Linked DNA regions of Saccharomyces cerevisiae S288C. Changing the gene in region 2 together with the main gene of any one other region gives a genetic interaction. Each region holds a gene or a part of one and is shown on either strand. Other genes may lie near its edges. The genes, in order: HXK2, RIM11, STP2 and ERR1.

Region 1 (7,823 bases), on a different chromosome or scaffold from region 2:
AGCATTTAGCAGCAGAAACCTCTTTGGAAACTGTATATTCAATTGAAACTGCAGTAAATTGGCTACGAAACACATTCTTTTACGTTAGATTTGGGAAGAATCCAGCTGCATATCAAGAGGTGAACAGATACGTTAGTTTTCATTCCGTTGAAGACTCTCAGATAAATCAATTCTGTCAGTATTTGCTTGACACCTTAGTAAAAGTGAAAATAATCGATATCAGCAATGGGGAGTACAAATCTACAGCGTACGGAAATGCAATGACGCGACATTATATATCCTTTGAGTCGATGAAACAATTCATTAACGCAAAAAAATTTCTATCATTACAAGGGATACTAAATTTACTGGCCACTTCTGAAGAGTTTTCAGTTATGAGGGTGAGGCACAATGAAAAAAAATTGTTCAAAGAAATCAATTTATCGCCACTTTTGAAATATCCATTTTTAACCGAGAAGAAACAGAGCCAAATAATTGACAGGGTTAGTCAAAAGGTTTCTCTTTTGATTCAATATGAGTTAGGTGGGTTAGAATTTCCATCATACGAAGGCGCTTCTAAACTACATCAAACTCTTGTTCAGGATAAATTCCTCGTTTTTAGACATTGTTTTAGATTACTAAAATGCATGGTAGACACATTTATTGAAAAAAGTGATGGAACATCACTGAAAAATACTTTGTTCTTACTGCGAAGCCTGAATGGTCACTGCTGGGAAAACACGCCAATGGTTCTTAGGCAATTGAAAACAATTGGACTAGTTTCAGTAAGAAGGCTAATACGACATGGAATTACCAATCTAGAAGAAATGGGGCATTTGTCAGATACTCAGATTGAATACTATCTTAACCTCAAGATTGGAAACGGCATAAAAATTAAAAACGACATTTCTTTGTTGCCTTGTCTGAATATTAGAACAAAACTAGAAAATTGCAAAATAGAAAATGAAGAGTTGTGGTTGACATTTAAAGTTGAGATTAGTGCAACATTCAAGTCTAGCATTTGGCATGGTCAGCACCTCTCATTAGATATCGAAACCGAGAAAAGCTCAGGAGAGTTAATCGACTTTAGAAGATTGCAAGTTAACAAACTACAGTCACCAAGGGGCTTTAGAATTTCAGCAAAAATATCACCAAAACTAGAAAAAATAGAATTCTCAATTCATTGCCAAGAAATCGCCGGACTCGGCAAAACAATCGTATATTCCACTGATCATTTGGCATCACAGTTCTCTGCGAAGACACCAAATATAAGGAAAGATCTAAATAGTTTAGAAAAATGCCTCTTCTATGAAAGCAGTAGTGACGGAGAAGTGGGGAAAACGTCTAGGGTTTCCCATAAAGATGGATTAGAAGAATCGCTATCCTCAGATGATAGTATACTAGATTATTTGAATGAAAGGAAGAAATCATCAAAGGCGGTTGAATCTGCAGCAGTTATTCACCCGGAGGCACACTCTTCTTCACATTTTAGTAATGGCCGCCAAGTAAGATCTAATGGCAATTACGAGTGTTTTCATAGCTGCAAAGACAAAACGCAATGCAGACATTTATGTTGTAAAGAGGGTATTCCAGTAAAGTATATAAAAGAAAAAGGACCCTCCTCAATCAAGCCAGTATCAAAACCTGATCAAATACGCCAGCCACTGCTTGCAAAAAATATCAACACAACCCCTCACCTGGAAAAAAGACTGAATAGTAAACCAAAGCAGTGGCAAGAAGAAAATACAGATATTGCGACAGTTCATACACTTCCTTCAAAAATTTATAATCTATCGCAACAGATGTCGTCTATGGAAGCGGGTGAACAAGTCCTAAAATCAGGCCCCGAAAACTGCCCTGAAATAATTCCTATTGATCTTGAATCATCCGATAGTTATTCTAGTAATACAGCGGCGAGCTCAATAAGTGATCCGAATGGTGATCTGGATTTCTTGGGTTCCGATATAGAGTTTGAATGAGCGGCATGGCCGGGAACAATAGACATTACTGATATTCATTACCCCAATCCTTTCTGTTATTTGTATTGCTTCCCAACAGAAGTTAGCATGTGTGAGAGTTTACTTATAATGCTTTGTTTTTAAAATGCAGCCAGTGGTGAAACAATTGGAACCTTTACTATTTATTAGGGAACAAGATGACATTGTCAATTGATATATTACTATTGTTACATATCGTGCTATTTATCATTTCAATTATTAGTCACATGACCGCGATAAGCGATCCGGGTCAGAATGCCGAGATAGGATAACTTTGCCGGCGGAGTTCCTAGATCAATTGAAAGAATCGAAGTGAGATTAGTAATTCATTCATATGTACCTTTTAAAAAAGAAACTCACTCTTGGAAGTGTCCTTTACTAAGGATTGTTTTGAACGAAAAGTGTAGGCGTGCCACAAATGTCAACACTTAGCGATAGTGATACCGAGACTGAGGTCGTGTCGAGAAACTTGTGTGGAATCGTCGACATAGGTTCTAATGGTATTCGTTTTAGTATATCTTCCAAGGCTGCACATCATGCAAGAATTATGCCTTGTGTTTTTAAAGATAGGGTTGGTCTTTCTCTATACGAAGTTCAATATAATACACATACGAACGCAAAATGCCCTATTCCCAGAGATATTATAAAAGAGGTTTGTTCTGCCATGAAGAGATTCAAATTAATTTGCGATGATTTTGGTGTACCTGAAACTAGTGTCAGAGTAATTGCAACAGAAGCCACGCGAGATGCTATTAACGCGGATGAATTTGTTAATGCTGTTTACGGTAGCACTGGCTGGAAAGTAGAAATATTAGGCCAGGAAGATGAAACTAGGGTCGGCATATATGGTGTTGTTTCCTCATTTAATACAGTAAGAGGTCTATATCTAGATGTGGCAGGTGGTAGTACTCAGTTATCATGGGTAATAAGCTCGCACGGAGAAGTCAAGCAATCCAGCAAACCTGTATCTTTGCCATATGGAGCTGGAACTCTTTTGAGAAGAATGAGAACAGATGATAATAGGGCACTTTTTTATGAGATTAAAGAAGCGTACAAAGATGCGATTGAAAAAATTGGTATACCTCAAGAAATGATTGATGACGCCAAGAAAGAAGGTGGATTTGACCTTTGGACCCGTGGGGGTGGTTTAAGAGGTATGGGACATCTGCTTCTTTACCAGTCGGAAGGTTATCCCATCCAAACAATAATTAACGGATATGCTTGCACTTATGAAGAATTCTCGTCTATGTCAGATTATCTATTCCTAAAACAAAAAATACCAGGTTCTTCAAAAGAGCATAAAATATTTAAGGTTTCTGATAGAAGGGCTTTACAACTTCCTGCCGTTGGTTTGTTCATGAGTGCTGTTTTTGAAGCGATTCCCCAGATCAAAGCTGTACATTTTAGTGAGGGTGGTGTTCGAGAGGGTTCACTTTATTCTCTTCTTCCAAAAGAAATTCGTGCACAAGATCCATTGCTAATTGCGTCCCGTCCTTATGCTCCATTACTTACTGAAAAATATCTATATCTATTGAGAACATCAATCCCACAAGAAGATATACCAGAAATAGTAAACGAAAGGATTGCTCCTGCTTTATGTAACTTAGCATTTGTTCATGCCTCTTATCCAAAGGAGTTACAACCAACAGCTGCATTACATGTTGCTACAAGAGGGATAATAGCCGGCTGTCATGGATTATCTCACAGAGCTAGAGCGCTGATAGGAATTGCTCTATGTAGTAGATGGGGCGGCAACATTCCGGAATCTGAAGAAAAATACTCCCAAGAATTAGAACAAGTAGTTCTACGCGAAGGTGATAAAGCTGAAGCATTGAGAATTGTATGGTGGACGAAGTATATTGGTACGATTATGTATGTGATTTGCGGTGTTCATCCAGGTGGTAATATCAGAGATAACGTATTTGATTTCCATGTTTCTAAGCGTAGTGAGGTGGAGACCAGTTTAAAAGAATTAATCATTGATGATGCAAACACTACAAAGGTAAAAGAAGAATCCACGCGTAAAAATCGCGGGTATGAAGTGGTTGTGAGAATTAGTAAGGACGATCTTAAAACAAGTGCTTCCGTTCGTTCCAGAATTATCACGCTACAAAAGAAAGTACGCAAGCTATCTAGAGGAAGTGTAGAGAGGGTTAAAATTGGCGTGCAATTTTATGAAGAATAAAGACATCTAGTCTTTAAATACTTGAACAATAAATACGAAATCCTTATATAAGCATCTTTTACTACCAAAAAAATTTAAAATTAAGCAAGAGAAAAAAACGAGCAATTGTTAAAAGAAACTAAAATCATGTAGATTTCATAAATCGTCATATTCTTTGTCTATATAAATATTTATCGTCACGAATAAATCCCGTGAATTTCTAACAAAGTTTATACAATATCACAGTTGTAAAAGTAAGAAAAAAAAAGATCATAGAAAACATGTTCACATAAGTAGAAAAAGGGCACCTTCTTGTTGTTCAAACTTAATTTACAAATTAAGTTTAAGCACCGATGATACCAACGGACTTACCTTCAGCAATTCTTTTTTGGGCCAAAGCAGCAATAACAGCGGCACCAGCACCGGAACCATCTTCAGCAGGAACAATCTTGATTGGGTAGTCGTCTAGTGAGGTTTGAGTCCAGCCGTAAATGTCCTTCAAAGCATTGGCAGCCTTTTCTTTGAAACCTGGGTATCTGTTGTAAACGGAACCGTCTGCAGCGATGTGACCGGTCTTGTAACCTCTCTTTTGACAGATAGCAGCAATACCACAAACGGACAATCTAGCAGCTCTAGCACCAATCAATTCAGATAAACGTCTGATCAATTTACGTTCTTGAACAGTAGTGTTGATACCGAACTCATTTTGGAACAAGTCATCGGTATCTTCTAGGTTCTCGAATGGATCTTCCTCGATTCTGGCTGGGTAAGAAGTGTCCATGACGAAAGGCTTGTCGAACTTAGACAAGTCTTGGTTCTTGAAGATGAAACCTTGTTTGTACATGTCCATCAAGGCCAAACGCAAAATTTCACCTAAGTAGTAACCAGAAGACATTTTTTCAAAGGTTTGTTGGCCTGGTCTTGGAGATTCTTCATCAATGGTGATATCGTATTTAGTTCTTGGCAAAACGACATGTTCATTATCGAAGGAACCGTATTCACAGTTGATGGCCATTGGAGCAGATGGTGGAATGTCATCAGATAGTTTTCCTTGTAGCTTTTCGATATCGGAACAAACATCGTAGTAAGCACCATTGACACCAGTACCGAAGATAACACCCATCTTAGTTTCTGGGTCAGTGTAGTAAGAAGCAACCAAAGTACCGGTAGTGTCGTTTATCAAAGCAACAACTTCAATTGGGATATTCCTCTTAGTGATTTGCTTTTGCAACATTGGAACAACATCGTGGTTTTCAATGTTTGGAATATCAAAACCTTTAGTCCATCTTTGCAAGATACCTTCATTGATTTTGTTTTGAGAAGCTGGGAAAGAAAAGGTGAAACCCAATGGAATTGGCTCAGAGATACCTTGTGGGAATTGCTCATCAATAAAAGCTTTCAAAGAGTCGGCAATAAATTCCCACAATTCGTCTGGATTTTGAGTAGTTCTCATAGCATCTGGTAATCTGTACTTAGATTGAGTGGTGTCAAAGGTACGGTCACCGCCCAACTTGACTAAGACAACTCTCAAGTTGGTACCACCCAAATCAATGGCCAAGAAATCACCGGATTCCTTACCAGTTGGGAAATCCATAACCCAACCTGGAATCATTGGAATGTTACCACCCTTCTTGGACAAACCCTTTTCCAATTCGGAAATGAAGTGCTTGGTAACGGCTTGTAAAGTTTCAGTTGGAACAGTGAAAATTTTTTCAAAATTCTCAATTTGTTGCATCAATTCCTTTGGCACATCGGCCATGGAACCCTTTCTGGCTTGTGGTTTTTTTGGACCTAAATGAACCATTTTATTTAATTAGCGTACTTATTATGTGTGGAGAATTATATTCCTACAACCTTTTCAAAGAAAAAGCGAAAAAATATTAAGAAACTTTGAAGTTAAGTTATAAAAGTTAAGGAATTTTTTTTAGATATGGGGTAGGATTACTCTTTTTTATAGTTTTGTAGATAAGACAGTGGCGAAGGTGCAACAAAGAGACATCACGGAATTGGACACGATATTTGCAAGCTCGCCTCAGCAGGAGGTAATTTCGTGGATCTCGCAATCAAAGGTGTTTCGTGGTCGTCGTCGTCGTCGTGGAAAATTTTTCAGAAAGAAAAGAACGATTACCTAAACTGTCTTTTTCTTTTACAACATGATGTCCCTGAAACAGAGAAAGTACCGTACGAATGTCGATCGACCGGAAAAACTGCCCGCGAGAAAAAGAAATCTCTTTTCTTCGATTTTTTTGTGCCGTCCGGTTTATTGCCCGGTGCCGTCCGGCATGATAGCCATTTCTAGGTACCAATGTGCGAGGAGGTTCAGAAAACTCGTAGTAACATGATGGAAAAGGCATTAGAAAGAGCAGTATACTCTGGGGTCACCAATGTGGAGCTCTGGAGCCCCGCACTTTTTTTCAAGAATAATAGGATGTATACGTAATACGTAATAGGTATCACGCTATTTACTCTTGCCTTTTCTTTGTTTCATAGTTCGAATCACATGAGTAGAGGACGGAAATTGCTCTTCTATGGCGTTCAGTATTCGAATAAATCCCAGACGCTAGGCTTATATAAATGAATGTAGCTGTACTTTACCAGCGTCTCAGGAATGAAGGCGTGCGTGTGGTCATAGTGGTCAATGAGATCAAATACAGATGCGAATGGACTAAGCTCTTGACAATCACTATGTTTGCACCGGTTATCCGACCAGTAACTCTCTGGATCAGTTGGGGTTTGTGCCGTAGTGCTATCAACGCTTTCACTACTGCTTGTCCCAGTAGTGCTAAATGAAAGTTGTGGAATGGATGTAGTGTCGGTGCTGCTGGATTTCTCAGAGGTTGGAAGCGATTCCTTCAGAGATGGATCTCCAGATGGTACAACAAGCTTACTTGCTATATGATGTTGCAACATATGATTTATTAGATCGTCATTGAAGCTGGTAACTTTTTGACATGATTTGTATGGGCATTGTAGCACTTGCATGTCATCATATCCAGGCAAATGACCTTGCGAGAATTCTTCACCACACATTGGAGAGCCGGAAGGTAATTTTGGGTCAAAACCTCCCTCCTTGCCATTGAGTTCTGCTTTCACATTCGCATTCACTCCTTCGTGTTTACGGTCAATTCTTGATGCAAGCTTGCTTTTTCTTTCATGACTATTTAAATGCCTTCTTAATTGCTGATTTGTGACAAATCTTTTTTGACATAATGTGCACGCTTTGGGCTTGATTTGTGAATGAGTCCATTTGTGAACTCGTAGATGGCACGGTCTTATAAATTTTTTGCCACATCCCGGCTCATCACAATGATACGGCTTTTGATTGGTATGCGAATTTTGGTGTTGCTGAAGCAAACTAGGTCTGTTGTAGACTTTCTCACAACCGTCAAAAGAACATTTGTAATTTCTAGACTTGGTTCTCCCTATATCCGTCATTGTTTTGGTGGCCACGTATTCTGGTACCACTTGTGCACACCAGCGTAAAAGTTGTCATTTTCATCTTCTTTAGCGTATTTATTGTCCGAGACTGTTAAAGAAAAATTATTACTGTTTTTTTGCTATTACTAAAGAATAAATAACTATAAAATATGAAATAGAATCTATATGGAACATGCAGAATTTCGCTTTGGTTTAAGCCCACTTACCGATCAAAGCCATGATACCAGCACCGAAAAGAGTGCATA
Region 2 (7,452 bases):
ATATTTCCGGATCATTTTGTTTAAAGCCAAAAGGAAGGTCAGGTTGGTGACGCTCCGTTAGATATAGATGGAACAAAAGAAAAATAGTGCACTTCTGGAACGTTTGAAAAAGGATTTTTTTAATATTGTAAAAAATGTCAAACTGTGATGCTATGGTCTCAAAGAGGTGTTTCTATTCTTTGATTTTTTTCGGTTGTCCTGATCTTCAAGGCTTAACCTAATAGCCTCTCTAACCATTTGATCTTCAAGTTCGTTTATTGTCGGTTCAGGAGATCTTGAAGCTGACGTACTTTCATCATGAATAGGGGTTATACTGTGACTTGTATTTCTCCTTCTGCTATGGCTTGGATCGATCAACCTATTACTTATATGTATAGCGGTGGCATTCGCGGATCTCCTCATCAACCTTGCCCTTTCTTTGTTCAATTTAATCTCCCAATCAGGACGAATGGTATCCGAAGTAATGGCTGATATGTTTGGCTGACCGCCATCAGCTCTTGATATGGCGGCGTCCTTATACACGTATGAGTCGGCTGGCATACCCCCTATACCAGTTTCACGATTTGTGGGTGGTTGATAAGTGATGCTAAAACTAGCAGTTGCACAGTAGGGGCAATTTGCTGGCTCAGAGGTAAGAAGATTTGGGTCCTTTTCACTGTCATTAGTTTGTGGTTCAGTTGGGTCTACTTCGTCATGAGGGAAGTGAGGATCAGCTCTCTTAATCTGTACAAAACACTCGGTACAAATAGGCTGTTGACAACATTTGGAATAGTTGAAAGGCCCTGGAAAGTATAAAAAACAAATAGGGCATTCCGACCCATTTTTGTAAAGAGTATACTTCAAATCGTCACTTGGTAAATGGTAATTTTTCCTTGGCTGGCTACTGGTATTATCTTCAACATTGCTGGACTTGCTGCCAATTCTTTTCATTTCCAATTTCCTCTCCAAAAACGTCTCATTTTCATTTTCTTGCCATAAAATTCTTTTCTTATACAATCTTGCTCTAAAAATCTTTGCGTGCATTCTTCTCTGTTCCTTCTTGGATAAAGATTTGTCTATTAATTCATTAAATGTTGACTTCCTTAAATTGCCTATCGGTACGTCTTCGAATTCTTCCAAATTTTCATCGAACGTGTCATGCAAGGGCAATCCGTCAACAATTTTTATCAACTCATCTCTAGTCCAACTTTCATCAAAATCCTGCAAAGGAGTGTAAAACGGCGCTAACTTTCTTTTGATTATTAAATTTTTAACGACAGTAGCATCATAGTCCAACTTTTCAAAAGAATAACAGCCAAATGGGGCCAAAAACCCCCCATCTACAGTTTCGCTACACCTCACAACCAATTGTTTAGCATGTGCCTCTTTAGCAAGCTCTTTTTCCCGTGACGTCTTTCTTCTACTAGTGCTGGATAGATGAGAACCAGTTTTTGTACGAGCATTATTCCCATTTAAAATATTATTGACCAAAGACGTCGTGCGTCTCGTTCTCACCCTTGAAGAGGCTTCTTCATCATATTGTTTGATGACAGAATTCGATGATGTAGTATTATATGAGGAATCTGGCCTGACATCATTAAAACTATCTTCCTGGTCTATTTTCCCTGGAACATTACCCATGGTTTGTTTGCTACTCTGGGTTCGGTTTATACTAGCTAGATTATTTGGTTCTAAGGTGCTTCTTCGTTTACTAAAACACCCACTACATCAGCTCGATGATGAACCTTCACTTGCCCCTTTATACTCTAAAAACCTTGTCGACCCATTTAAGGAAGTTGTTACCCGGTTAAAGTAAAGGTGTCATTAAAATAGTTTCGTACTGGCAAAGAATACGGCTTTTATACATAATTCGAAGTGAAATGGCATAAAAAAGTTACAATTTATTTTGGCTTTACCTTATTTTTTTCATAATTTGTATTCATTATAACAGTAATGATAACATAATACTGTTACTACTAATAATGATAAGAATATGATGGTAATACAAAAACAATACTCATAATAATAACAGTAATAATAGTACTAAAAAAAGACATACGTATATATGTTCCTTCCTTCTCCCATTATTCTTGCCTGGGCTCCCTCCGGTGCTATCATTACTTAGACTTCGGATATAGCTTTTTTTTTACAGATGATAGTTCATCGGGAGATAGATGGCCCAATTCGACATTTTCATCGAACTCTAGCAATTTTAAATCAGTTGTTATTTGATTTATTTTACCGTCATCAAGTTTTAGTTCATCAAAATATGGACTACACAGGCATTGTAGAGCATTAAATCTTTCTAGTGGATCATATTTCAAAACGTCAGCTAGAAATTCCACAGTTTGATCATCTTCTTTCTTGAAAACACGTGACAATGGTATTGGTTTAATTTGCGGGAACTTATGCTCCATATAATTGGGATTCATAGAGCAAATTTCTTGCTTTGATGGAGTACCTAAGATTTTAATGATTTCCACTAGTTGATCAATACCACTTTCTCCAGGGAACATTGGTTGGCCCAATAGCAGTTCCGCCATTACGCAGCCAGAGGACCATATGTCGATTTGGTTGGTATAATTTGTTGCGCCGAAGATTAGCTCTGGTGCTCTATAGTACCGTGAACAAATATAGGAAACGTTAGGTTCAGTAGGTTTCAATTGCTTTGCACTGCCGAAATCGCACAGTTTTAAGGACCAGGTCTCAGGATCTACTAATAAATTTTGAGGCTTAATGTCTCTATGACAGACGTTCGCGAAATGATGGAGGTAATTCAATGACTTGAACAATTGAAACATGTAGTACTTTATTTCCAATCTTGACATCGGCGTACGTTGATGGACGAAATGACGTAACCTCTGGTACAAAGATTGTGGCATGTATTCTAGTATCAAATTTAAATAAATCTCATCTTGGGAGTCCCTTTCATAGAAAAAGTACTTCAGATCTATTATATTTATGTGACTCAGCATTTTCATTATTTCCAGCTCTCTGTTCTTGAATCGTTTATCTTGCAGGACTTTCTTAATAGCAACTTTTTCATTAGTTTCTTGAATAACAGTGGCAAATACCACACCAAACGAACCATGCCCAACTACTTCGGTGGTAGGGAAAGATATCTGCACCGGATCATTCGGGTCTATCGTAGGTGGAGGATGGGCGTAGTAAACCTGTTTTGACACTATGTTATTACTGAGATTCGGAGAATTATTGCTTTGAATATTCATCCTGCGCGAGTTCTAGCGTTGCGTGATTAGTGTTGCCGTGTTGTAATGTAATGCTATGTCAAGATCTTGCCCAGTAATGTGTGAATCAGACGTCGGTGGTTGGCTATTCTGGAAAAAAAGGTGTTAAAATGCAATGCGCCAGAAAGAAAAGGAAATAAGACAATGGCAACGACCGATTGGAAATAATCTGCTGGTCTTCCTACCACTCCTTCTTGTGTAAGATCTTCAATGGACCCGTGCTTTGTAACCCGCAAGCCTTACAGAACCCCTTGGTAGTATTATTATCCGGAGTGAGCAGAAGCCACGAATGCGCACAGTCGGCGGGTAATGAACTATCACGCTATAAATACTGACATTATTTAAAGTTTTTATATGGTGCTCACATCTTAGACGATTATTGGGTAAAATGGCAGGATTCCACCAGACGGTCACGCAGGTTATCAATACCTTCTCCGGTAACGCCACTACATTTGACGAGCTCTATTCGGATGTCCGGCTTGAACAGACACTTCAACTCGCTCTCTACCAGTAAACACCTTCGATGAAGCTCGGACTTGTCCTCCACTAAATCAATCTTGTTCAACACAACGATAACAGCACACTCGTATCCTATTCGATTTTCGTCTCTATTGATTAATTCTTTTAGTTCTTGCAAGGTTTCGTCAAACCGCATTGAAAGGCTCACATCTATACACCATATCATCGCTTGTGTCTTATCAAAATAGTTATCCCAAAATGGCCTTAATGTGCGTTGCCCCCCAATGTCCCATAGAGATATTGTCACATCTTTTATCATCAGACTATGTATTTGAAAACCCACAGTAGGCATTATACCATCGTTATTTTGCTCATCCTTGGGCAATAGTTTGTTTACTATCGTTGACTTCCCCGAATTGTCTAGTCCTAGAATCAGACAGCGAATTTCTTTGTCCCTGAGCTTCTGTTTCCTGATAATACTTAGTAGTCCCATGTATTCTTCTACACCTTAAGCTTCCCTCTTATTATCTTTATAAATTAGTGCGATGGCTTTTTAGATTTTGTCATGGAAACGGACTGAAAAAGTACTAGTAAAATAGCAATATAAACATAATCAAATACCTGCGTCAAAACTCATGTTAAGCAGCATACGCACTAGTGACTAATTTGGGTGGTCGGTTGATTATGTCAAGGAAATCTATAGTGCAAATAAGAAGATCTGAAGTAAAGCGGAAACGAAGTAGCACCGCTAGCAGTACAAGTGAGGGGAAAACTCTTCATAAGAACACACATACATCCTCTAAAAGGCAGAGAACTTTGACAGAATTCAACATCCCAACTTCATCGAACTTACCTGTCCGTTCCAGTTCATATTCATTCTCAAGGTTCAGTTGTTCAACATCCAATAAGAATACAGAGCCAGTAATTATTAACGATGACGATCACAATAGCATTTGCCTTGAAGACACTGCAAAGGTCGAAATCACCATAGACACAGACGAGGAAGAACTAGTTAGCTTGCATGATAACGAAGTCAGCGCAATAGAAAATAGGACCGAAGATCGAATAGTAACGGAATTGGAGGAGCAAGTAAATGTTAAAGTCTCTACAGAAGTTATTCAATGTCCTATTTGTCTAGAAAACCTTTCTCATTTAGAATTGTACGAAAGAGAGACACACTGTGATACTTGCATAGGCAGTGACCCGAGCAATATGGGAACACCTAAAAAGAATATCAGGAGCTTTATTTCTAATCCATCATCTCCTGCAAAAACGAAGAGGGATATAGCTACGTCAAAAAAACCAACAAGAGTAAAACTTGTTTTACCAAGTTTCAAGATAATTAAGTTCAATAATGGCCACGAAATAGTTGTGGATGGTTTCAATTATAAGGCCAGCGAGACTATCTCTCAGTACTTTCTTTCTCATTTTCATTCTGATCACTATATTGGACTCAAAAAATCTTGGAACAATCCTGATGAGAATCCGATCAAGAAAACACTTTACTGTTCTAAGATCACTGCAATATTAGTAAATTTAAAATTCAAAATTCCAATGGATGAAATCCAAATTTTACCCATGAATAAACGCTTTTGGATAACAGATACCATTTCAGTAGTTACGTTGGACGCTAACCATTGTCCCGGTGCAATAATAATGCTTTTCCAGGAGTTTCTGGCAAATTCGTATGATAAGCCTATAAGACAAATTCTTCACACGGGGGATTTTCGAAGCAACGCCAAAATGATTGAGACAATTCAGAAGTGGTTGGCCGAGACAGCGAATGAAACTATTGACCAAGTTTATTTAGATACAACATATATGACTATGGGATACAACTTTCCTTCACAACATTCTGTGTGCGAGACTGTGGCTGATTTTACATTACGGCTTATAAAACATGGTAAAAACAAAACATTTGGAGATTCACAAAGGAACCTTTTTCACTTTCAGAGAAAGAAAACATTGACAACTCATCGTTACAGGGTCCTATTTCTTGTGGGAACATATACTATTGGAAAAGAGAAGCTAGCCATCAAGATATGTGAATTTTTGAAAACAAAATTATTTGTTATGCCGAATTCCGTTAAATTTTCAATGATGCTAACAGTTTTACAAAACAACGAAAATCAAAATGACATGTGGGACGAAAGCTTACTCACCAGCAATTTACATGAATCATCCGTACATTTGGTACCTATAAGAGTGTTGAAAAGTCAAGAAACCATAGAAGCTTACTTGAAAAGTTTAAAAGAATTGGAAACAGACTATGTGAAAGACATTGAAGATGTTGTCGGGTTTATACCTACCGGGTGGAGTCACAATTTTGGTTTAAAATATCAAAAGAAAAACGATGATGATGAGAATGAAATGAGTGGCAATACAGAATATTGCTTAGAACTAATGAAGAATGATCGAGATAATGATGATGAGAATGGGTTTGAAATCTCGAGTATATTGAGGCAATACAAAAAGTACAACAAATTTCAAGTTTTTAACGTACCATATTCTGAACACAGTAGTTTTAACGATTTAGTGAAATTTGGTTGTAAATTGAAGTGTTCTGAAGTCATTCCCACTGTGAATCTAAACAATTTATGGAAAGTGAGGTATATGACGAATTGGTTTCAATGTTGGGAAAACGTTAGGAAAACGCGGGCGGCTAAATAAAACAAAAAAGGAAAACAAAAAAAAGAAAAGGGGGTAAAAATGTGTTATGTAAGATGTACGTACGTAATGGATATTATATGAATGTATGATTTTATATTATTGCAATATCGTATTATACTCAGAGTCCAACGTTTGATCATTATCCATATCATGAATAAACCTGTTTGGAATAGTGATAAAATCAGGAATTCTACGATCGTTGGCTAAATCAATAGATCTTCTATATCTTAACAACAAATTACTGCTTTTTGAGCCAAATTTCTTGGTGACTTTCCTATAAAATAACCCACAGGCATTACACAAAGTTCTTGTGCCATATGGTCCCTTTCTCCATTCTGGAGTCTCGGTCTCCCCGCAATGGAAACAAAACTCGATGATTTTTTTTGCATTAGGATTCTTTTCATCGCTATTAGCGGCGGGAGTTGTCGTTGAAACTGCAGCAGCACCAGGATTGGAATTATTGATGAAATGGCTGGAAGTGGTCAGCGTGGGTTGTCTCTGAATAGCTCTTGGTCTGCCTCTGTTATTCTTCTTTTTCGTGTTGAGGTTAGAAGTGGTTAAGTTCTTTAACTGCGTTTGCACCATTGGAGATAACGTAGTGTTTGGAATGTAGGTTATTGAATTGAAGGGAGATGATGAAATATTCATTTTCTTATCGTTTGGATCGTCTTGTCTTGGAACCTGTAACTTTTGAAGAGGCGCGGAACCGGCCGTGGGGGAGGGTGAGGAAGAAGAGGTTGAAAGAAAAGCGTGACGGTGATATAATGGACCATGTAAGGTGCTACTCTTTAAATCGGTATCCGAAGCATGCCTTTTATTGTCATAGAATGTTGGAAGATGTTGGGTGGAGATGGAGTCAGTTAATTCCTGTAAGGAAGGTAACTTTATCTTATTGGAAAACGGTGAAGAGCTCTCCTTTTCAGACTCTTGCTGCTTCAACTGTTGCTGCTCTTGTTGTCTGTCAGTAAGTAAAGAAGCCAGACGGTTTTCGATGGTTGTGATATGATTTTGTAAAGAATGGAAATTCTGAGTAGCAATACTCTGCCTGAAATGGGTAGAATTTGATAAAGATTTCAGTTTAGCTAATTCATCCATA
Region 3 (8,046 bases), on a different chromosome or scaffold from region 2:
TCAATGTCTTTTTTTTTTTCCCTTTTCCTTTTTCCCTTTTCGTTATTGGTAAATTATTTATAAAAAGATTGATAAGCAGTATCGTTCAGCGTGTGTATTTTCGATAGGAAGTAATAATTTTTCATTATATTAATTAATAGTTTCCAGAAAAAATTTTTTTTCCTTCACAATTGCAGCAGGCTTGAATAGAAACAGAACAAACGAGTAATACAAGGATGTCTGCTACCAAGTCAATCGTTGGAGAGGCATTGGAATACGTAAACATTGGTTTAAGTCATTTCTTGGCTTTACCATTGGCCCAAAGAATCTCTTTGATCATAATAATTCCTTTCATTTACAATATTGTATGGCAATTACTATATTCTTTGAGAAAGGACCGTCCACCTCTAGTGTTTTACTGGATTCCATGGGTCGGTAGTGCTGTTGTGTACGGTATGAAGCCATACGAGTTTTTCGAAGAATGTCAAAAGAAATACGGTGATATTTTTTCATTCGTTTTGTTAGGAAGAGTCATGACTGTGTATTTAGGACCAAAGGGTCACGAATTTGTCTTCAACGCTAAGTTGGCAGATGTTTCAGCAGAAGCTGCTTACGCTCATTTGACTACTCCAGTTTTCGGTAAAGGTGTTATTTACGATTGTCCAAATTCTAGATTGATGGAGCAAAAGAAGTTTGTTAAGGGTGCTCTAACCAAAGAAGCCTTCAAGAGCTACGTTCCATTGATTGCTGAAGAAGTGTACAAGTACTTCAGAGACTCCAAAAACTTCCGTTTGAATGAAAGAACTACTGGTACTATTGACGTGATGGTTACTCAACCTGAAATGACTATTTTCACCGCTTCAAGATCATTATTGGGTAAGGAAATGAGAGCAAAATTGGATACCGATTTTGCTTACTTGTACAGTGATTTGGATAAGGGTTTCACTCCAATCAACTTCGTCTTCCCTAACTTACCATTGGAACACTATAGAAAGAGAGATCACGCTCAAAAGGCTATCTCCGGTACTTACATGTCTTTGATTAAGGAAAGAAGAAAGAACAACGACATTCAAGACAGAGATTTGATCGATTCCTTGATGAAGAACTCTACCTACAAGGATGGTGTGAAGATGACTGATCAAGAAATCGCTAACTTGTTAATTGGTGTCTTAATGGGTGGTCAACATACTTCTGCTGCCACTTCTGCTTGGATTTTGTTGCACTTGGCTGAAAGACCAGATGTCCAACAAGAATTGTACGAAGAACAAATGCGTGTTTTGGATGGTGGTAAGAAGGAATTGACCTACGATTTATTACAAGAAATGCCATTGTTGAACCAAACTATTAAGGAAACTCTAAGAATGCACCATCCATTGCACTCTTTGTTCCGTAAGGTTATGAAAGATATGCACGTTCCAAACACTTCTTATGTCATCCCAGCAGGTTATCACGTTTTGGTTTCTCCAGGTTACACTCATTTAAGAGACGAATACTTCCCTAATGCTCACCAATTCAACATTCACCGTTGGAACAAAGATTCTGCCTCCTCTTATTCCGTCGGTGAAGAAGTCGATTACGGTTTCGGTGCCATTTCTAAGGGTGTCAGCTCTCCATACTTACCTTTCGGTGGTGGTAGACACAGATGTATCGGTGAACACTTTGCTTACTGTCAGCTAGGTGTTCTAATGTCCATTTTTATCAGAACATTAAAATGGCATTACCCAGAGGGTAAGACCGTTCCACCTCCTGACTTTACATCTATGGTTACTCTTCCAACCGGTCCAGCCAAGATCATCTGGGAAAAGAGAAATCCAGAACAAAAGATCTAAGGTTTGTAACTGAGAAAAAAAAAAAAAACAGAAAAAGAGAGAAGTTGTACATTCACGTGGGCCTTATCGCCACACTCATCCATCTCCAATGATTTATTTTATTTGCCAGTACGTTTGATATGACATCGAGTTATGTTCTTTAGTTACTTTCAAACTTGGACAACCATCCCGCATTATTTATGAGTGGTATGGTTTCACTTCTTTATTTATAAATATTTATACTACGAAATTATATATAGATTACATTTCTAAAACAACATCAAATATAAGGTTTATTTATGCAACATGCCTACTGGATTAGAAGAGAGAACACACAGCTCACAGGCCAAGCGGAAATAAAGCAGTCTTTTCGCAAACTTGTAAATCTTTTTGCAATTTAAATTAATCAAGAGAGGGCCCAGGAGGAGAGGAGTTTTGGGGAGGGGTCACTGAGGAAGCTCTCTTAAATATGGATTCACTGAAATAAATGTATATAAGATTCATTACTGCTTTTTATAGTGATAAATCCAAATGATGAGTGAATTGAACCATCCTTAGTATCCATTGTTTTATAAAGCACCGCTAAAAATAATATATTGCTACAAAAATGATATAATAATAATATTACGTAAAATACCTGAAACCGCCATAAAAATAATACCTGAATTAACCTTAAAATTCTATCCCATAAGCTTTTTTGTAAAGGGCCAGATAATCTTGAGTCTCCTTCAAATGATTCTCACCCAGAAGTTCAAAGTCCATTTGCTTCTGTAACATCTCATTAATGGAAATCATATTGCTTTCCTTTGACTGATTGATTGCGTCCTCCTCGGTTTTGTCTGGCTCCAACAACGATTGCTCTGAATCCAATGGGTATGACTTATTTGTTTCTGTAGTTGTTATTGGATCGCCTGAAAGTGGAGATAGCGCTGAGGAGGCAGAGGATAATGCTGGAGAATCCATATGCAATGTGTATCTTGATGATTGATACTCTTGTGGTACAGAAGATGCATTTTGGGGTGACAAAATTGGGGGAGATATTATTGACCACTCTTTGAGATTTTGGACTTCTGTAGGTCCTCTTGATTGTGTAGTTTGTGTAGGTCTTGATATTTGTTTGCGTTCAAACCATTGAGTGCCTATTCCAAAATCGTTTTTTTCGGTTTTGGTTGGTATGATCTTGTCATTAGGGCGTTCCTTGGACTGCATTACTGTCGCTTCTATACAATTCTTATTTTGTAAAGCTGGTTCGGAAACACTTTCGTCGGATGAGATGAACCTTGTTTGGCCATCCGAAGTCTTTATCATTTTCATTTTAGACGTCTTTTTCTTCTCTCGTATTCCCTCTGAATAGCCTTCTGGTAAACCTTTGCAACTCCCAGCCTCAATGTGGTTTTCCACCCAGCTCTCACTAGTGCTAAAGTGTTCCCCACATTGAGTGCACACTCCAGGTGATTTATTACGGTCCTGAGGCTTAACACCTTCTGGGTAAGTGAAATGTCTAGATTTCAAATGTGTTTTGTAGGTATCTCTTCTGCTAAACCCCCCAGAAGTATGGCATCGCAATTCTTGCGAAATGCTATTATCAAAAAATGGACAGTGATAGGCCTTCCTTTTCGCATGCTTTTTTATGTGTCGTGTTAAGTAACCTCTGATTCGGAACCTAGCATCGCAATAGTGACATATATATGGTAAAGTTTCGGATGACTCATCAGCAATTCCTTGAACCTCATCGGATAGGGGAGATTCATCAATACTTTTCTTCGATGCAGGAGTGATTACGCTACTTACGGGCGTGATTGGAAGGAAATTAGAGGGGAAAAGAGCTTTGTACTGGTCATTATTGATATAGGATTCCTCTAGCGGGGGAGAACTTATCAAGTCATTCTGTAACTTTGCTGGCTCGCCGCGGCTAGGGCCCCGTAAAATCGGTTCGTCCAAGTTCAACTGTGTAGTGACTGCACCATTATTATCAATTTTAATTGAGAAAGGTGTTTCTAGGTTATCCAAATTTAAAGCACAGGGTACAACTGAAGATTTTGATGTTAGACTCAATTGTTTGTTGTTCTGTTTGGGAAATAATTCGCTCACGTCAACCAGATCGTCCTTTTCGGTAGCACAGCAGTCTTTCTGTGGATGGTTCTGTTTCGCAGGTTCTAACTTTTCGAAAGGAGTACTTTTCGAAGATTTGTCGTCTTCCACATTGGGCACAATCACTTGCTGCACTAATGCTTTAAGGTAGTCATATATCCTTGTTAACACGCTGTTCCGTGTTGAAGATAGTGATAAGATAGGCATGATAATGGATTTCCTTACTTCCCCAACTTTTTGCTCTCTTGCATTTGTCTGTTTGTCGGATGATTAATCACTGTTTTTCATTTATTAATCATCGTTTTTCTCGCTTTTTGCCCGTATTGGAATGTGAAGAGAAAAAAAAAATGATAAGAATTCTAAAAAAAGATACTCTTCGTTCGAATGGATGACTCTAAGAAGGGTAACAGACTTTCAATCTTCAAATAACATTATAATCTCTATTCTAGCCCTTAGAGGAGCATGTCATGCGTTCAGAACCTCCATTAATAGCTTACTTTATAACTTTCTATCAGTCACAAGTTAAACGTCGACAATTTTTGTGGGAAATGGTCTGTTTTTTTTCTTCAGTTAATAAATCTCGTTCTTGACTGCAGGTAATTAATGGTATCGTGATCGTTACCTATGCTTACACACTATAAGAATTTTCTTCGTGAGAATTGGCCCATTTCTCTGGTTCTTCTGAAGAGAGTTTTGCTGACCATCAATCAGCTTTACGAAAATTTACCGCCCAATTTCTTGCCAAAATGCCATCCATATTCCCATTCATTGGAATTCTTTCACTATTTTATCATTTCAATGTTCTTTGTAGCAACAGGCTCTTCTTTTTCACGCTTACTGTGATCATTTGTTATAAGTGCTGGTATTTTCTCTCTTCTGGAATTCCGTGCTATTGATATCACGACATGTGCGCTTCTCATGATTTTGCCGCCCAAGGCACATTTTGCCGTCTGTTTTTAACCTAATATTTATGTCGCGGGTATATTATCATATATTGCGTAAGAGGATGGTATTGCTGATGGGAAGTGGTCAACAAATTCAATAGGCACTGAAATGTAAGGGCTGACAATGTAATTGGATAAAGAAAGGCAACACATGAAAGGAAGAAAAAAAAAACGTTATTTATTATTATGTAAAACTATTGACCTCACCTTTGTGATTCACGCTGTCCTCGTGAAAAAACTTTTTTTGTTTTTGTAGACCTAATAAAAGAACCTTTTTTAACAATGTCCTAACAATAATTTCAACAGTTGCCAAACCTCAAATAGTGTTGGAATAAAAATCCACTATCGTCTATCAACTAATAGTTATATTATCAATATATTATCATATACGGTGTTAAGATGATGACATAAGTTATGAGAAGCTGTCATCGATGTTAGAGGAAGCTGAAGTGCAAGGATTGATAATGTAATAGGATAATGAAACATATAAAACGGAATGAGGAATAATCGTGATATTAGTAAATAGAAATATAGATTCCATTTTGAGGATTCCTATATCCTCGAGGAGAACTTCTAGTATATTCTGTATACCTAATATTATAGCCTTTATCAAAAATGGAATCCCAACAATTATCTCAACATTCACCCATTTCTCAAATAGTATGTTTTGGTGTTAAAGAAGAACATTGGAAACAAAGGAAAGGTAAGCATTAGCCCGGAAACAAAACAAGAGGAAGTAATATACACCTTTTTGGTTAACTTGTTCGTTCAGAAGAGCCCAAGTATGTAATTATTTTTTGCAAATCTTTCCTCAGTAACGATAACGACACGAAGGTAATATTTTAAAACATTTATCAACAAGTCACTAAATATAATCTGGGTCCTATCACTATTAGAGCTTCTATGGCCAAGTTGGTAAGGCGCCACACTAGTAATGTGGAGATCATCGGTTCAAATCCGATTGGAAGCATTTTTTGCATTGATTTCCCAATTCGTAGCTGATGATCACCCTCTGAAGCTATCGGACATTTTTTTTCTTTAATTTTTTCAGCGAGAGAGCTGGCAGTGAACGTACAAGAGCAAGCTCTCTAAAGAACTATTACTCTCCTCGTTCCCCTCTCATGTCTTTTAACAGATAAACAAGCAAAAGAAGGAACTATCATACTTAGAAAAACATGTCTTTCTTAGGTTTCGGTGGTGGTCAGCCTCAATTATCATCTCAACAAAAGATTCAAGCTGCGGAAGCTGAACTAGATTTGGTCACAGACATGTTCAATAAATTGGTTAATAACTGTTATAAAAAATGTATCAATACTTCTTATTCCGAGGGTGAGCTGAATAAGAATGAATCTTCGTGCCTAGACAGATGTGTGGCCAAATATTTTGAGACCAATGTTCAAGTCGGTGAAAACATGCAGAAAATGGGCCAATCATTTAACGCAGCCGGTAAGTTTTAGAAATGTGCATTAAAGCAGTAATGATAAGACGAAAATAAGAAAAGAAATCCATAAGCTGTTTTACTCGACTCAACGTTATAATTAGTATTATTGATTCATATCCTGTATATACAAGTAACATTATACTCTTTTCTGTACTTCATCTTTACCTTTTTATCTTACATGGCACATGTTGTTTGAAAACAAGATCATAGGTGGATAAAGCAAGCCGAATCTAAAAAAAAAAAAATGTCTCTATTGGAAAACTGAATGCATAACGATATTCCCTTTTCATGCAGATAACACTGACTAGTTTCAATTTGAAACGCATCTTCGTGTTATTTCACCGAAACGCACTCGGCTCAGCATGTTAAAAAGCACATCAATTTAGGGCTCTGCGCGTCCTTCTGCGTATTCTTCCTTGTAGAAATGCAATTAAATGGAGAGCAGAAATTTTTTTGTTACATATTGTTTTCCTTAAAGGGAAATATTAAAAAATAGTCTAAAATGAAGAGGATAGTAGAATTCCACCAATTTCTTTACGTTTTATATTATTCGTAATCTTTTGATCTGTTATTCATTTTTTCTTGTCACTCCGTTTCTAACATTTTTGACCATTTCTAAGACCAAACTGAGTAGAAGCTATTCATACTGTAAATTGGTATTTTAGCATCACATCAATAATCCAGAGGTGTATAAATTGATATATTAAGGTAGGAAATAATGGGGTGTACAGTGAGTACGCAAACAATAGGAGACGAAAGTGATCCTTTTCTACAGAACAAAAGAGCCAATGATGTCATCGAGCAATCGTTGCAGCTGGAGAAACAACGTGACAAGAATGAAATAAAACTGTTACTATTAGGTGCCGGTGAGTCAGGTAAATCAACGGTTTTAAAACAATTAAAATTATTACATCAAGGCGGTTTCTCCCATCAAGAAAGGTTACAGTATGCTCAAGTGATATGGGCAGATGCCATACAATCAATGAAAATTTTGATTATTCAGGCCAGAAAACTAGGTATTCAACTTGACTGTGATGATCCGATCAACAATAAAGATTTGTTTGCATGCAAGAGAATACTGCTAAAGGCTAAAGCTTTAGATTATATCAACGCCAGTGTTGCCGGTGGTTCTGATTTTCTAAATGATTATGTACTGAAGTACTCAGAAAGGTATGAAACTAGGAGGCGTGTTCAGAGTACCGGACGAGCAAAAGCTGCTTTCGATGAAGACGGAAATATTTCTAATGTCAAAAGTGACACTGACAGAGATGCTGAAACGGTGACGCAAAATGAGGATGCTGATAGAAACAACAGTAGTAGAATTAACCTACAGGATATTTGCAAGGACTTGAACCAAGAAGGCGATGACCAGATGTTTGTTAGAAAAACATCAAGGGAAATTCAAGGACAAAATAGACGAAATCTTATTCACGAAGACATTGCTAAGGCAATAAAGCAACTTTGGAATAACGACAAAGGTATAAAGCAGTGTTTTGCACGTTCTAATGAGTTTCAATTGGAGGGCTCAGCTGCATACTACTTTGATAACATTGAGAAATTTGCTAGTCCGAATTATGTCTGTACGGATGAAGACATTTTGAAGGGCCGTATAAAGACTACAGGCATTACAGAAACCGAATTTAACATCGGCTCGTCCAAATTCAAGGTTCTCGACGCTGGTGGGCAGCGTTCTGAACGTAAGAAGTGGATTCATTGTTTCGAAGGAATTACAGCAGTTTTATTTGTTTTAGCAATGAGTGAATACGACCAGATGTTGTTTGAG
Region 4 (7,538 bases), on a different chromosome or scaffold from region 2:
TAAAACGTCGTATGAAAGACAAGGGAGCTCAGCAGCAATATCATAAAGTAAAGCAACAGCGCTTGGTTTATGTACAATGAACGATCTGAAAATTAGTTGGCAGCGGAGCTACGAATACATGTCAATATTACGTTACGATTGTATAACAGGGGAGGAGAATCGTGCACTTTGATGGGTATATCGAAAGATGGTGACTATGCTAGAGTCACTGTCAGTGAGGAGTTGCGATGTATGAAAGATTCACTGACATAAAGTGGCGCGATTCATGTAGAAGTGTAAATCACTTTTGACGCAATGATGGAAGAGATACAGAAGAGATACGGAAAAAATAAAACAAAAAACAACTGAAATAAGTACTAATGGATTATATTTATTGCCGCCATTATTATTTAGCCTCTGGTGGCTCAAGAATCTGCAGTTATTTAATTATTTAATCGAGCGTGTAATGCTCTGATGATTTTCAATCCGGTCATATCAAATCACAAGTTGAGCCATTATATTCATGTTTTTTGTACATTCACCACGTTCTGCATATTAGGTACTGAAACACGTCAGGCTATAACGGCGCTTTCCACCTACACTCCGGCCTTCGTTACTGCTCCGACCGTTCTCTGGTCTAATTGTTCATCCTGCATGCTAATGGGGATTATGCAATCTTTAAATGCTTACACTTGGATGAAAGATCACCAAGTCTTGTTTTTAGGTGTAACTACTGGGTACTGTGGTGCCCTGTCTTCCTTTTCTAGTATGCTGCTAGAGATGTTCGAACACTCTACAAACTTAACTAACGGTAATATCGCTAACCACACAAAACTGCCGAACAGAGCTTACGGTATAATGGAGTTTTTATCTGTCTTGCTCGTTCATCTTATGGTTTCCATGGGTAGTCTTATTTTCGGTAGGCAACTTGGTAAGGAGGTTATTGTTGCTTATGGATCTAGTTCGTTTTCGAAGCCATATACCCCTCCCTCAGACACTGTAAAGGAAAATGCTGGTGATGTTGATACACAAGAAATGGAAAAAAATATTCTAGAGTTTAAATTCAAAACTCCAGCACCATTTTTTAAGAAATTTTTTGATATTGTGGATAAACTCGCGTATGCACTAGCTTTTCCATTAATTATTTTGTTTGTGGTGCTGTGTGCGTATTATGAGAACTATTCGAGGGGCAAGTGGACACTACCATGTCTATTTGGAATTTTCGCTGGTTTCCTAAGATATTGGTTGGCAGAAATGTTTAATAAAACAAACAAAAAGTTTCCATTGGGTACTTTCTTGGCAAACGTTTTCGCCACTTTATTGATTGGCATATTTACCATGGTGCAACGTGGTAAAAAACACTTTTCTACGGACGTTCCAATTGTGAACTCGTTGAATTCATGTCATATTGTTTCTGCGTTAATATCCGGATTTTGCGGCACTTTGAGTACCATTAGCACGTTTATCAATGAAGGGTATAAGCTATCATTTATTAACATGCTTATTTATTATACTGTTTCGATTGCAATTTCATATTGCTTATTGGTGATAACTCTCGGATCCTATGCTTGGACTAGAGGATTGACCAACCCGATTTGTTAGGATCTTTTCTTTATACTTTTCCCTGCATAATCATCCCACTTTTTTTTTTTTTTTTTTTAATTCATTTTCAAGATTTTAGACGTTGTATAATACATTTTTACCCACTACTGCGGTTTATTGTAATATTTTGTGAGATTTTATGAATGCGTTCCATCATCTATTTACTACAAAACGATAAATTTCCCCGTTTTCTTTTACTTTTACTTCATTTAATATAATTCATATTTATTTCCCATGTACCAATTAATTACTCATAAAAAGAACAGAAATAGAAAAAAGTTGTATATAACAAGCCAAAAAAAAGAAAAAAAAAGGAAAAAAAAGAAAACACAGCTTATTTCAAATTGCAATCTGCGTATTTCGTAAGTAACGAATGATCTCACAGCATTGCTTTTTTTTTTTTTTATATATATATGTACATTACCTATGTCACATATGACCATGATGAATACAACACTAAAAACCAAGGCCTACTATTCAATTGTTCTCTATATGATTTCCATTCTAGCAAAATCGAGTGCTACCGACCTGCCGTTTTCTTTACCTTTCGAACCATTGAGCTGTTAGCCTTCTCTTCACAGAAACTGAAAGTCATTAAAAGCCTCCCCTTCAACAATTCCCTTGTCTTTTGTTTCAGCTATATAATGCGTTTATAGCTCTAATTGTGGTCGAATAGGAAGAATTTGCGTTAACACCCGTAACTAGCTTTCCATCTGTAATAGAGTAGTCATCCCAGGGATGGATTGGCGCCAAGTACTTGGCTCCATTCTTGTTTGCAACGCGTTCAACCGTTGTCAATTTTCTGCTCCTCAAGATGTCGTCAACTCCCAGGGCGATTTCACCCTCGAGTGGGAAACCTGTTATAGCTTTGCCTTCGATTAATGGTCTTGTTGTTTTGATATCTATTAATCCATCGAAAAGGAGCGGTCCATGACAGATGGCAGCGATCACACCCCCATTGGCATATATCTTGGATGCAATATCTTGCAGATTTTTAGCTTTGGGATAGTCAAATAGAGCACCATGTCCAGCAGATGCAAAGAATACTTTATAGTCGCTGGCGTTGACTTCATTTGCGGTCTTGATCCTCGCTAACGCCTTATTGAAGGCGGAATTTTTCGTTTCAAAGTTCATCTTATCTTCGCCACCAATAAAGCTCTTTGGCAAGTAATGTTCATCCCAGCCAAATCCACCAGTCTCAGAAACGAAGTCCACTTCGAAACCATGCTTTTCGAATGTATCGAACGATCGCAAAATCTCAACTACAAAAACGCCTGTTTTCGCACCATCTTTGTAGAAGGGACCGTGGTATGAAGTAAGAGATATTAGCGCTCTTTTTGGAGTCATTGCAAGGCCAGTTTTCTTTTTGAATGAAGGAGAAAAGTGTTCTAGAAATATGTTTTAGTTCTAAGTATCGTTGTCTGGAGCAAGCAAAGAAAAGCAGACCTGTATGTGCAACTTTCCTGTTTTCCATTAAAATCTCAAGAACCGACCCCTTGACTGTGCTCATATATCAAGTATCGGTTTTAAAGTCCCCTAATTGTGATAATTGCAAGAACGACAGTCAGAAAGATATTTTTTTTTTTCTTTCTCTTTACCTATCCTCCATAAAAATACCTATGCTGATACTGAATATCTTCATTTGCAGCTATGCAATATTTCAGATACCCCATTTTACCCAAGAGTTTCTTACTGGTGGTTGGATTTTCTTTAAGACGAGAAGATTACCAGTCCTGGATGTTCGTGAATGTGCCTATTGCGTCATCAGCGACTCCGCGCCAAGAAAAGAAATACTCGCATGCTCGGATTTATAGAATCGCATAATGGAAATACCTTCCTTAAAGGATGGAGATAAGGAAAAAATGACAAGAACAAGGAAGTACTTGGGAGCTTTCTCCGACATGGTAAATATTTGAAACTCACGCAGCTCTCCTGGAAAGTTGGATCTGGAAAGGTAAGGTTGTTTTTTTTACAGACATCAACCAAAATCGGTTCTTGTAGTAGACAATGTCACAGATCGCCACAAGTTGAAAAAAAAGTTTCGATGAACTGGATAAGGGGAGAGGTCACAAACAAAGTGTAGGGGGTGAGTAGTATAGTGGTAACTTGTTCATTTACCTAAATAACATTCTCACTAGAAAAGAGATATTGAAAGACTCCTCGTTTACCTAACTTGGCTGGTTCTTAGGTATATAATAGAAACATGGATCTGGCAGGTTATCACTTACAGTTTGCACTCCCACCAGGTTACAATTTTCATTATATATAGTTATTTTTTACCACCACTTCTTCTTCTTTCACTTTGTCTTGCAATAGAAATACCAAAACAAGGTGAGGAAAAAATCGAATCTCAACGATAAAAATATGTCCATCACGAAGGTACATGCTAGAACGGTGTATGATTCTCGCGGCAATCCGACTGTTGAGGTTGAAATTACAACAGAGAATGGTCTCTTCAGAGCGATCGTCCCATCTGGTGCCTCCACCGGCATTCACGAAGCTGTTGAACTTAGAGACGGGAACAAGTCCGAATGGATGGGAAAAGGGGTGACCAAGGCAGTCAGTAACGTCAATAGTATCATAGGGCCTGCTTTAATCAAGTCCGAATTATGTGTAACCAATCAGAAGGGCATAGACGAGCTCATGATATCGTTAGACGGAACTTCTAACAAGTCAAGGTTGGGCGCCAATGCTATCCTTGGTGTTTCCTTGTGCGTTGCTCGAGCTGCTGCCGCACAAAAGGGAATTACTCTCTACAAGTATATAGCCGAGTTAGCGGATGCTAGACAGGACCCCTTTGTTATTCCTGTTCCTTTTTTCAATGTTTTGAATGGTGGAGCCCACGCCGGTGGCTCTTTAGCTATGCAAGAATTCAAGATCGCGCCAGTCGGGGCTCAGAGCTTTGCAGAAGCCATGAGGATGGGTTCGGAAGTTTACCATCATTTGAAGATATTGGCGAAGGAGCAATATGGACCTTCCGCTGGAAATGTTGGTGACGAGGGTGGAGTTGCCCCCGATATTGACACTGCCGAAGACGCCTTGGACATGATTGTGGAAGCCATTAACATATGCGGTTACGAGGGTAGAGTGAAAGTAGGAATCGATAGTGCTCCTTCTGTTTTTTATAAGGACGGGAAATACGACCTAAATTTCAAGGAACCGAACTCTGACCCATCTCACTGGCTCAGTCCAGCCCAGTTAGCAGAATATTACCATTCATTGCTAAAGAAATACCCAATCATTTCCCTGGAAGATCCCTACGCCGAAGATGATTGGTCCTCGTGGTCTGCCTTCCTAAAGACTGTCAATGTTCAGATTATTGCAGATGACCTGACATGCACCAACAAGACCAGGATCGCCCGTGCTATAGAGGAGAAATGTGCGAATACTCTGTTGCTGAAACTCAACCAGATCGGTACTCTGACTGAGTCTATTGAAGCCGCCAATCAGGCTTTCGATGCTGGATGGGGTGTAATGATATCGCATAGATCAGGTGAAACCGAAGATCCGTTTATCGCTGATTTGGTCGTTGGTTTAAGATGTGGTCAAATTAAATCGGGCGCTTTGTCGAGATCAGAAAGACTGGCCAAGTATAATGAACTTTTGCGTATCGAAGAGGAACTGGGGGACGATTGTATATATGCTGGTCATAGGTTTCATGATGGAAACAAACTATAAAGGATTGTCTTGTTTCCTTTTTTTTTTTTTTTTTTTTGTTTTTTTATGACTAAATAAAGTAAATCATATGAGGTTTTATTTTTTATTTCGTTGATTTGGGTTACAGTATGGAAATGGGGCATTTGACACAAGTTATTTTATTCATATGTTTTATCTTGTAGGAAATCAAACCGTTTTTAAAGTTTTCCATTGCCTACACACAAAATCATTACGAATCTGTCTGAACAAGGGTGGACGTGTGGGGGAAGGCTGTTCCAATCAAGAAATGCTTACAACTCTACTAACACTGCAGTTTTTCAGCTTTCTGATTAATCTCTTCGGTTTAAATTTTTTAGCAGCTATTACTTTCTAGTAACCCTTATAACGCGGTTGGTATCAAATCTTCCTGATAGTACAAGCAGACCTTTGACCCCATTCTTGTTGTGTCTTGAAATCTTTTTTTCTGACAAAAGTAAGAAGTTACACCATAATAGAGAAGTTAAATAATGAAAGTGTATCGATCATAGAAATGATTTTATTTTTTTCAACTACTGTTACGGTCAAGAAACTAATACTGAGGATAAGTTTTCGCAACAATGATTTTGGTACAAGTGATTTAAAGTCTTGAATTACTTCAACACAATTTGCTTTGCGACGGTTTAGAATAACGTAATCGTATCAACGAATCCACTAGGCGCGCGTAAAAATTACAGACTCTAACAATATACGACTCCCAGCACATACCTACTATTCTGTACAATTCCGGGAAATAGGAGGGTACAGTATTATTTTTTCTCGGCGATCGTTTAGGGTATACTGGAGATAGGCTTAGCAATACGCTTCTGAACGAGGATCTATAGCAACTAAATTCAGACATTCTGCTATACCAAAAAAGGAAGTATCACAGGCACGGAAAAGGGTTTTATAAGGCACCTCGGCACCCCTATAACTGGCATTCTCACATTCGGCGCATACGAATAGACAAAGGCCCCAGAAAACAATACCTTCGCATACAGAATCTATAAAGATGCATGCCTCGTTTAAAAACAAAAACATCTTCATAGTGATCATGAAGTTGTGGGAAAGATGAGATATGGAGAATATGTGAAGTGCTAAAGGAGCATCTGTTAACGAATCGTTTAAGTGGTGATGACCAATGAAGGAATAGGTATAAATAGAGATACTTCAACTATATGCCTTCGAGAATATGTCTTTATTCATTTCTTTCCTGTTAAGCTTATATCAGCACTAACAAACAAAACAAATACAATGGTCAAATTAACTTCAATCGCTGCTGGTGTTGCCGCTATCGCTGCCGGTGTTGCCGCTGCTCCAGCCACTACCACTCTATCTCCATCTGACGAAAGAGTCAACTTGGTCGAATTGGGTGTTTACGTCTCCGATATCAGAGCTCATTTGGCTCAATACTACTTGTTTCAAGCAGCTCATCCAACAGAGACCTACCCAGTTGAGATTGCTGAAGCTGTTTTCAACTATGGTGACTTCACCACCATGTTGACTGGTATTCCAGCTGAACAAGTCACCAGAGTCATCACTGGTGTCCCATGGTACTCTACCAGATTGAGACCGGCTATCTCCAGTGCTCTATCTAAGGACGGTATCTACACTGCTATTCCAAAATAGAGAGAAGCTTTTACGAACGAAATTCCATAGACATTAAAAAGTAAAGAAAATGAAATAAAATATGTTATTCTATTGATATAAATACAATTTCTCATATGTAAATGTATATTAATATGACAACTCATTTTTGATCAATAACAGTGTTTGTGGAGTATTTTCTCAATACAATAAACCCAAAATAGAAACTTCTCTTTTGCGTCACTGTTCTGGAAAAGGGTGCATGGTAATAAAGCTAATAGGGTATGTCCAATAAGCAATACTGAACTTGGAAATGTGCGGCTTCGCAGCCTTTTGTCTTTCTATAAAAATGTGTCGTTCCTTTTTTTCATTTTTTGGCGCGTCGCCTCGGGGTCGTTTATAGAATATGCGTCACTTTTAAAAATAAGATTGCAGATCAGGGCAAAACAAGTAGCAAGTCATAGCAAGAGACCCTGATTTTTGTGACATAAATATTATTATTTCTTTGTTAGGTTAGTTTTTTATGTAACTGTAACTGGAATAGAGTTGAGGGGATAGCGCCCACATGTGTGTGAGCCACTACCGTATTATTGCTCGGTGAATAAAGAGTGTCACAACAATGGGATGACATAATATTCTAATGTGAAGTCTGTGTAAGTACGAAATATTCTGAAGTGGCATCCGTTCAAGCAAATGGG

Evidence for each region.
Region 1: mutations in RIM11 (region 2) and HXK2 together harm fitness more than expected from each alone (negative genetic interaction), as found in Saccharomyces cerevisiae (3 studies listed by BioGRID).
Region 3: mutations in RIM11 (region 2) and STP2 together harm fitness more than expected from each alone (negative genetic interaction), as found in Saccharomyces cerevisiae (3 studies listed by BioGRID).
Region 4: mutations in RIM11 (region 2) and ERR1 together harm fitness more than expected from each alone (negative genetic interaction), as found in Saccharomyces cerevisiae (3 studies listed by BioGRID).

The regions. Positions count from the first base shown.
Region 1 is NC_001139.9:22,056-29,878, reverse strand, and holds HXK2 (hexokinase 2), read right to left. Parts: upstream 5,945-7,823; coding exon 4,484-5,944; downstream 1-4,483. Other genes in the region: HFM1 (DNA helicase), read left to right, coding at 1-1,958; RTG2 (Rtg2p), read left to right, coding at 2,395-4,161; FZF1 (Fzf1p), read right to left, coding at 6,676-7,575; high-affinity Zn(2+) transporter ZRT1, read right to left, coding at 7,771-7,823. UniProt on the Saccharomyces cerevisiae protein: Catalyzes the phosphorylation of hexose, such as D-glucose and D-fructose, to hexose 6-phosphate (D-glucose 6-phosphate and D-fructose 6-phosphate, respectively).
Region 2 is NC_001145.3:541,882-549,333, reverse strand, and holds RIM11 (serine/threonine protein kinase RIM11), read right to left. Parts: upstream 3,210-7,452; coding exon 2,097-3,209; downstream 1-2,096. Other genes in the region: SIP5 (Sip5p), read right to left, coding at 151-1,620; Arf family GTPase CIN4, read right to left, coding at 3,604-4,179; DNA cross-link repair protein PSO2, read left to right, coding at 4,371-6,356; GAT2 (Gat2p), read right to left, coding at 6,453-7,452. UniProt on the Saccharomyces cerevisiae protein: Serine/threonine protein kinase that is thought to function in regulating kinetochore activity and entry into meiosis. Could phosphorylate IME1.
Region 3 is NC_001140.6:113,853-121,898, reverse strand, and holds STP2 (Stp2p), read right to left. Parts: upstream 4,086-8,046; coding exon 2,460-4,085; downstream 1-2,459. Other genes in the region: ERG11 (sterol 14-demethylase), read left to right, coding at 216-1,808; protein transporter TIM10, read left to right, coding at 5,998-6,279; GPA1 (guanine nucleotide-binding protein subunit alpha), read left to right, coding at 6,982-8,046. UniProt on the Saccharomyces cerevisiae protein: Transcription factor involved in the regulation of gene expression in response to extracellular amino acid levels.
Region 4 is NC_001147.6:1,076,331-1,083,868, forward strand, and holds ERR1 (phosphopyruvate hydratase ERR1), read left to right. Parts: upstream 1-3,945; coding exon 3,946-5,259; downstream 5,260-7,538. Other genes in the region: FEX1 (fluoride transporter), read left to right, coding at 454-1,581; HSP33 (glutathione-independent methylglyoxalase family protein), read right to left, coding at 2,215-2,928; seripauperin PAU21, read left to right, coding at 6,388-6,882.